2 linked regions of the Xenopus tropicalis genome follow. The protein of the gene in region 2 purifies or fractionates together with the protein of the main gene of each other region. This does not show direct contact. Links are inferred from orthologs where the notes say so. Each region holds a gene or a part of one and is shown on either strand. Other genes may lie near its edges.

What was found. Proteins that work in one complex are often made in the same cells at the same time.
Region 1: the proteins of map3k1 (region 2) and dcaf7 purify together in Homo sapiens (affinity purification with mass spectrometry; 3 studies listed by BioGRID and IntAct, with this or other methods). This does not show direct contact. The link is inferred for Xenopus tropicalis from reciprocal best matches to the Homo sapiens genes MAP3K1 and DCAF7.

What each region holds. Positions count from the first base shown.
Region 1 is NC_030686.2:16,431,952-16,435,508, reverse strand, and holds the end of dcaf7 (DDB1- and CUL4-associated factor 7), read left to right. Parts: intron 1-647; coding exon 648-857; intron 858-1,075; coding exon 1,076-1,193; intron 1,194-1,624; coding exon 1,625-1,797; 3' UTR 1,798-2,314; downstream 2,315-3,557. UniProt on the Homo sapiens protein: Involved in craniofacial development. Acts upstream of the EDN1 pathway and is required for formation of the upper jaw equivalent, the palatoquadrate. The activity required for EDN1 pathway function differs between the first and second arches.
Region 2 is NC_030677.2:190,919,685-190,924,458, reverse strand, and holds part of map3k1 (mitogen-activated protein kinase kinase kinase 1), read left to right. Parts: intron 1-517; coding exon 518-639; intron 640-880; coding exon 881-972; intron 973-1,483; coding exon 1,484-1,673; intron 1,674-2,400; coding exon 2,401-3,673; intron 3,674-4,774. UniProt on the Homo sapiens protein: Component of a protein kinase signal transduction cascade. Activates the ERK and JNK kinase pathways by phosphorylation of MAP2K1 and MAP2K4. May phosphorylate the MAPK8/JNK1 kinase.

The DNA.
Region 1 (3,557 bases), on a different chromosome or scaffold from region 2:
GTTTCTTTTATAGCTTCCAATAAGTCCCCCATTGTGGGCTCGCTAGGCTCTTGGTTGGGAGGGGGGCCTGGTGGTTCTGGCGTTAATGTCTGGCAGAAGCTTTTGTCCAGCGGGAACCTGGCTGGGTGAGTGAGGGCGTAGCCTCTGATCTCATACATGGAAAATGTTTGCCCATGTTGGCTTTTAGTACTGCATTCCAGTGGTTGCTGGCAAACTGTGAGTGAGTAGTAAATGGAGTGTGGAGTGAAGAGAACTGCCAAAGAGATCAATCGATACACAGAGCTCTCACTTTATGCATCTGGTTTGGTCGCCATCTTGGACACACCCAAGTGGTGTCATTTTTACAGCACCAATTGGAGATGGGAATAAATTACATTAGAGCATTATTCAGGCAGCAAAAGATGGGGCATTAATAAATTAAACTAGGAAAGGTTCAGAGGAAGTCCTAAATGTCTTGTCATTGTTTTCCAGTGTACACGGTGATGGGTCCTGCAGGTTGTGCAGTTATAGTTACACAGGGTTGAAAAAATCCAAAGTCCGTCAAGTTCAACCCTTCCAACTGAACCCAGTGCAGTATGAATGAGTTAGGTTTTTTTAACCCATATGAATATAAAAGTATTTTCTTTCCCCTCCCCTGTGTGTGACAGGTCTATGACATTGCATTCAGCCGTGCAGGAGGGGGCAGAGACATGTTTGCCTCTGTGGGGGCAGATGGCTCTGTGCGAATGTTTGACTTGCGCCACCTGGAGCACAGTACAATCATCTATGAAGACCCCCAACATCATCCATTACTTCGACTGTGTTGGAACAAGCAGGATCCGAACTATCTGGCAACCATGGCCATGGATGGAATGGAGGTAATATTAATGATTCTGTTAAACACAGATTGGCACAGAGAGCTGCTGCATCGTTATATTTGACCAGCAGCCTGGTGATACGTACAGTCAATCTGGTGTGTGCCATTGTATTACATAAAGGTGTAAAGGAGCAGTACAGGGTGGGGTATGCCCAGAGGGCATTTTCTGTTCTTACAAATGCATATCATATTTTTATTCTTTTTTTTTTTTTTTTTTAGGTGGTAATCTTGGATGTACGAGTACCCTGTACCCCAGTAGCCAGACTTAACAACCACCGTGCTTGTGTCAATGGCATTGCATGGGCACCCCATTCATCTTGCCACATCTGTACTGCAGGTGAGCATCTTGCTTAGGCTTTACTGCATATATTACCCAAGTGTTGGTAGGGGTATATAATGTTGCCCTATAGCACTTTGCAGTGCACACACAGGCCTGGAATTGTGCAAAACCAGGACCCTAGAGGGCAAAGCTTAAGGAGAGACAATATATGGCCACTAATTGTTATTACTGCCAGTCTCTGGCTTAGTGGCTTAGTGTGGCACAAATTATAAATCCAGCCCTGAATTTAAAAGTGCCCTGGCCACCAATATATTGTCCCAGGTGTCCCCAATGTGAGTTTGATTATTGTTATTTTATGTGCCAGTAATAGTTATAAATTAGCTGTAGAGTTAAAGTGACTGGTGTCCTGTTACTTATGTGATATCCAGTCATGTGACAGACCCCAGTGGCACCCTAACTAACACTAATGGGCCTTGTTCCCTTTGCAGCGGATGATCACCAGGCCCTAATCTGGGATATTCAGCAGATGCCAAGAGCGATTGAGGATCCCATATTGGCATACACAGCAGAGGGAGAAATCAACAATGTGCAGTGGGCAAGCACCCAGCCTGACTGGATTGCCATTTGTTACAACAACTGCCTGGAGATCCTGCGAGTGTAACTGTATTTATTCCCTACCCTTCTAGCCCACTCTTCCTACCCCTTTCCTACAGGATCTTCTGCTCCTCAAGGCCTCCGGTTTTTATACATCTGAACTTATTGGCTCACCTTCCTGTCTGTGATGTAAGCCAGAAGATCCTCATTATCCTCCAGTACCTTATTGGCTGTAACTACTAAACATTATTGTCCATCCAGATAAACAGAGTCCTCTGCCTGTTTTTACAGTATGTGATTCAACTCTTTTACATGAAGGAATTAGTGCTGCTTAGTAAATCGGGCCCTGGTTTATAATTGACAACCCAAGAAAAGGGGTTCCCTTCCTTAGTCAGTTCCCTGTACTTTGCCCCGAGTGTATTTCAGTTGTTGGGGGATGGGAGGGGGGCCGGGTTGTGGGTGGGATGGTAACTATTGTACTGTAATATTACCTGTGTATACTATCCTCATATATGTGTGTATTTGTAGTGCTGACATGCTGTTTCTATATATTGTCTGATATTAAAGGAGTATCAGGTTCCCTACATTTGATTGGCAGCAATGATTTAACATATTTCCTTTTAGCTGTAGAAATATTAACCCTTATTGTGCACGGCTGGCCATGTTTTTCAGTGCCCTTTGTGCAGTTGTTGGCTTTTTATTTTTACTCCTCTTAATTCACAGACTAGATTTGAAATCTGTACTCCTCCTTGGGCTTGTGAGGCTTCCAGTTTATGGTTAGCTTGATTAGTACTTAGACTGATTAATCACAATTGGCTAACTCATAGGCATTTAGGGTCTGCAGGTATGAGTTTACTAGAGTGCTCTTTTTATGTTCCAAAGCACCAATGTTGAACGCAGTTAAAATAGGGCCAGAACCGTTTAACTTTACATTTCCAGTGATATATCAGTAGTGACTTTGGCATTGCTTACATACATACATACATACATACATACATACATACATACATACATACAACAAGTTCAACTCTGTGTCCCGGTAAAAGCTGCATGATTTAGAGAAAGGTGAAAAAACATCCAAAGCCATCTCTTATTTAATAGATTTCTGACGGACTCCAAGGGGCAATCAGACCAGTCCCTGGATTAACTTTGTACGAAGTTCATTTCAGTGTCTCTGTGTTTTACCCATTGTTAAAAGGCCACCCATCCCTATCAGATGTATCCTTAAGGAGAGGATTCCACAACTTCACATCTTTCACTGTAGCAAACCCTTTTTGGAGTTTTAGGATGGAACCTCCTTTTTCTTAAACATAGTGGATCCCTTGTGCCTTCTGAAAGGACCTTACTCTACTTCAATTATGTTGGTTTAGGAGTCATAAAGCCCAAACCCACTGGAGCAAAGTGATTTTGTAGTGATATTTGCTATCCAATAGATATGTAGTACAGTGAAGCTACTCCCATGGTACAATTTCCTCATTTAATATTAATGCCCCAGGTTGTCACTAGGTGGCACCGTGGGACAGTTTTGACCCTGTGCTGTTGTGCATTTTGCTAGACAGATGCCTGGGACTAGTTGTGCTTTCTCTGCATGCAGGCCTGGACTGGGATTCAGAATAGGCCCTGGAATTTCAAGTACACAGAGACCCAAACAGCCCCACCAGCCCAATAAATAGTGACCGTCTATGGCATCTTACAGCAGCCCCTCTGGCATTTGCCAGAACCCACATATTGCTTCTATATGAACATCTAAGGCTTAAAGCAATATAAATGTTTATGCAAGTTTCTTCGGATCTGGAGCAGGCTGGAAAATGAATTTAATGGTATCAT
Region 2 (4,774 bases):
CCATCATTTTAAAATGATTTAAGAGCAATAAAGCATTGCAGCAGGAAAGCAGATAGCAATTATTTGCAGAGTCACTCTGCAGAAAGACTGGCACAGTTTGCCTGGTTCTGCACAAGAAGCTACTTTATAATACAACTAGGCAGATATAGCAAATTATAGGTTCCTTAGACAAAAGATGTATATATAAAACATATATTGATGAAACCTTATGTTTTCCCATTTTGTCCTTTAACATGCTGGGCCAAATCTGGATGATCTGATTGTTTGGTTTGTGGGCCAGTGATCATCCTAAGAGGGGCCTAGAGAGACCTGTTGGGAGAGGGACCGTATTACATGTGAACTTCATCCAACAGAATTTTCAATAGATATAGATCTTAGCATATAGGTCAGGAAGGTCCAAAAAAAGGACCAATAAGCTGCCGACTTGGTCTGGAGAGGACAAGTCGGCATCTTTAAATATTAGTAAAAAAATTAGGCGTATTAGGCAATTTGTCTAAACTGTTTCTGTTCAACTTAGAAAACATTACGGGCCATGCTGGTGTACACTCCCTGCCATACAATTACAGAAAGAAAGAAGCTGCAGCGACTTCTCAATCCAGTGGTGGAGACTATTCTTGTAAAATGCGCAGATGCCAACAGGTATGCCTGATGAGTACAGTTTTATATGCTGTAAAATGTATACTGAGGCAATGTGGGGCAGGCAGAGGTGTTTTACAGTGACATGACAACTGGTGGCCAAGGGGAAGTTGTCATACAGTTTGTTGTTGTACCTCTGCTTCTTACAACTTGGTAGTTTTCTTTGGTTAGGAGCTAGTAAAATTCATGTTCCATCATGTAAGGACTGGTACTTTATTAAACAGTGACATTTCCTTTGTTATAGCCGCACAAGTCAGCTTTCAGTGTCAACCTTGTTGGAACTATGCAAAGGACAAGCTGGAGAGTTGGCAGTTGGAAGAGAAATACTCAAATCTGGTAAGCTTCTGTTTTTATAAACATAATAATTGCTTTTGGGACTTGACATACAGCATTTCAAATAAGAAATTAGCCAGCAAAGCAAATTGTAACTGTTTCTCTATCCATCCCCAATGATGATAAAAATATATTTTTTTTATGTAATGAATAATGTACCCTCTATTCTAAAATAAAATATTATAAATCTCCAAGGAGTTCCATGACCATAATAAAATACTTGTTTCAACAACTGGAGTTTCACTCAAGGTATAGCTTTTAATCCTAGGTGTCTGTTCCTGTGCCCTGTCCCAGGTACCACAATGATAAAGGGTAACTGCTCAAAACATGTAGTGTCTAGTAAAAGAGGTGACTTCTAATATCTTAATATTTTTAAAAAATGGGGTACATTATTATAATACACAAGTTTTAGTGAGTCATGTGACAGAAATTACATCACTAAGCACCAATATTCATATATTATCTCGACCACAGGCGACTGGACAGCATTTAAATTGTCATTTTGTTTTTGCAGGGTCCATCGGCATTGGTGGGGTGGATTATGTCTTGCATTGTATTCTAGCAACGCAAGCAGAGCCCAATAACTGGCAGTCACTACTTGGCCGCCTTTGTCTGATCGACAGACTTTTATTGGAGTTTCCTGCTGAATTTTATCCTCACATCATCAGTGGAGACCTCACACAGGCAGATGCAGTCGTTGACAGGTAATAAGCACACGTGTATCTCTTCTGCCACCCTTGGGTTGAGCTGTGCATTCCACTGTTATAAATGCAAGTTCCATGGCAATTCACTAAGGCTGTCAGCAGCACTACGTACATGTGAGCCCAGTTATCTGGTCCTTCTCGTTGATTTGAAGATAGTGCTTGTAAGGTTCACAGTTTGACTTGTAACCTAAGGCACACAAGCCAGATTTCCAGACTACTCCTCTGTAGATAAAGCAGGGATGTATCAAATCCGCTAATTTAGGATACTGCCGAACCCAGAATCCTTTGTGAAAGATTCGGCCAAATACCGAACCGAATCCTGGAGTCAGTGCATCCCTAAAATAAAGTAGGCCAATCTGGTTAATAGCCAACCAAAGTGGACATGCTGCTGTGTTTGCACTGAAACAAGCAGATATCCATTTGTAATCTACATAAAATTAAGATGATACTTTGTACAGAGTCACAAGTATGTGCTGTCATGGCATCCATCTACATGTGCTCCCTATAAGAAATGAGGGACATGTTTATGTACCAGTTAAGGTCTGCAGTGCAACATATATTACAGGGACATGATGTAATATAGAGCAATGATTATGGATTTTATAGGTTAAAGCACACAAGAATAAACATTAGTAATGATTTTTTAATTAATTTTATTTTTAAAGTGTATTTTTTTTTAATAATAATAGTTTGCACTTTTTAATATGTATTCATTTTTTCCCCCTAGATATAAAAGCCTGTTGTCCCTGCTGAATTTTGCCTTGCAGTCTATTGATAACTCTCATTCCATGGTGGGAAAACTATCCCGGAGAGTATTTTTAAGCGCAGCAAGAATGGTTGCAAGAGTGCCCCAAGTGTTCGTCAAGCTGCTGGATATGTTAAGTGTAACTAGCTCTACACATTACATTCGTATGCGGCGCCGGCTAATGGCCATAGCTGAAGAGATGGATATTGTTGAAGTAATCCAGCAGGACGTAGAAGATTCTCAAGCAATGGAAAACCGCAGAGAGGCATTTGTTCAGCCATCTGCCCCAGCCAATACCCCATCAACCTCACAAAGCAATTCTCCGGATAATACTGTACAGCTGTCAGGTAAAGTGGCAAAAGAAGCGTGTGACTCAAAGTCTGCCTCAAGTCCCGAAGACTTACGCGAGGCACTGGAAGTAATGTCATTGGCGTACCCTTCCTCTTCCGCCACAGCCGAGCAACCAAAGCCTGCCATTCTAACAAAACGTAGACCACACAGTCAATGCTTGAATTCCCCGTCTTCCAGTCATCCCCATTCCTTTTTCCCTACTTTACCTTCACCTTCTTCTACTCCTCCTGTGCCAGCTGGTCCTGTCACAGATGCTACAAAGCCAAGGTCTCAGGGTTTCACCCCATGTAAACTCTCTTCAGCTTCCCCTCAAACTCAGAGGAAATTTTCCCTTCAAATACAAAAGCACTATTCAGGCAGTAAAGAGCCAGAAAAACTTTCTCCAGTTTTTACTCAAGCAAGACCTCTGCCATCTCCTCAAATACACAGGCCAAAGCCTTCACGACCTACCCCAGGGGACCCCGGGAAGCCTGGAGAAGCTCAGAAGGGCAGCTTGACTCTTGACCTGAATGTTTCTCCTTACGATAACTGTGGCAGTAACGTCAGTGCTGTCATTCCAAGCGATGATACGGTTTTCACACCTGTAGAGGAGAAGTGCAGACTGGATGCAAATACAGAGCTCAATTCCAGCATGGAGGATCTGCTGGAAGCTTCGATGCCTGCATGTGATAGTACTGTCACCTTTAAGTCGGAAGTTGCTGTGCTTTCTTCTGAGCGTGCAGAGACTGACAACACATACAAAGATGATGTCAATCACAATCAGAAATGCAAGGAGAAAATGGAAGCTGAGGAGGAAGAGGCTCTGGCTATTGTTTTGGCAATGTCGGCATCTCAGGATGCACTGCCAGTCATACCCCAGCTGCAAGTTCAAAATGGGGAAGACATCATCATTATTCAGCAGGATGTAAGTTTGGAAGAGCTTTGTTGTGTGTGTTAATGGTGCTTTGCTTTGTTAGCCTACAGAATAAAAGTATTGAACCTCTTCAGTGCTCTACAGGTCTTAAACAACATGTCAACCCCAAAAAAAAGGTTTTGTCTAATACAACATAATTCTAAGCAATATTTCAATATCAATTTATTTAATATTTTCAGCGCTATTGAAAGCAGCATTTGCTGAACTCCTGGTTGCAAAGGTCAGTCTCCTCCTGCCAAAACCATCAGGGCAGGGAATAGCAAAGGACAGACAAACACTGCTTCTAATAGCAATTATATATACAAATAAGTCAAAAACCATTACAAATTTGTCATCATTGTGCAGTGCAAAGTTGCTTAGGATTTTGTTTTCTTTTATTAGGCAAAAATTTATATTCTGGCTTGACTTTTAACATTTAGGTTTGCTTTTAGTTAGCAAGAAGAGGGTCAGATAGATACAGATTACTGGTATTGTTTAGTCCATATAGTTATAGTTAGTTCTTGGCCCTTTAGGCCTGCAGTTTGACAGAAAATTATATGAAATCCAAATTTCTGAATAGGGCCCCCTTTACCCCCTGTATCTAGCAGCGTTTGCATGTAATCTTTGTTTTATCTATCAATACTTCTATTGTGTAGCGCTACTGAATAAGTTGCTGCTTTATTAAAAGAAAGATTTACCCCCTTTTTAACGTTGGTTCAATGAATAGAGCTTGTGCTTATCCTATGTTTGGCCAATTATTTTTTTTACAAAATATCTATGGTTTTTGTTATTTCATGCTGTAAACAGGGCAACATTTGAAAATGAAACTTAGAGATACTGTCATGGGAAAACACATTTTTTTCAAAGCGCATCAGTTAATAGAGCTTCTCCAGCAGAATCCTGCATTGAAATCTGTTTTTCAAAAACACAAACAGATTTTTTTTTATATTTAGTTTTGAAATTTCACATGGGGCCAGCCATATTCTTCATTTCCCAGGGTGCCACAGCCATGTGACTTGTGCTCTGATAAACTTCAATCACACTTTACTGCTGCGCTGCAAGTTGGAATGATATCCCCCCCCTCCCAGCAGCCGATCAGCAGAACAATGGGAA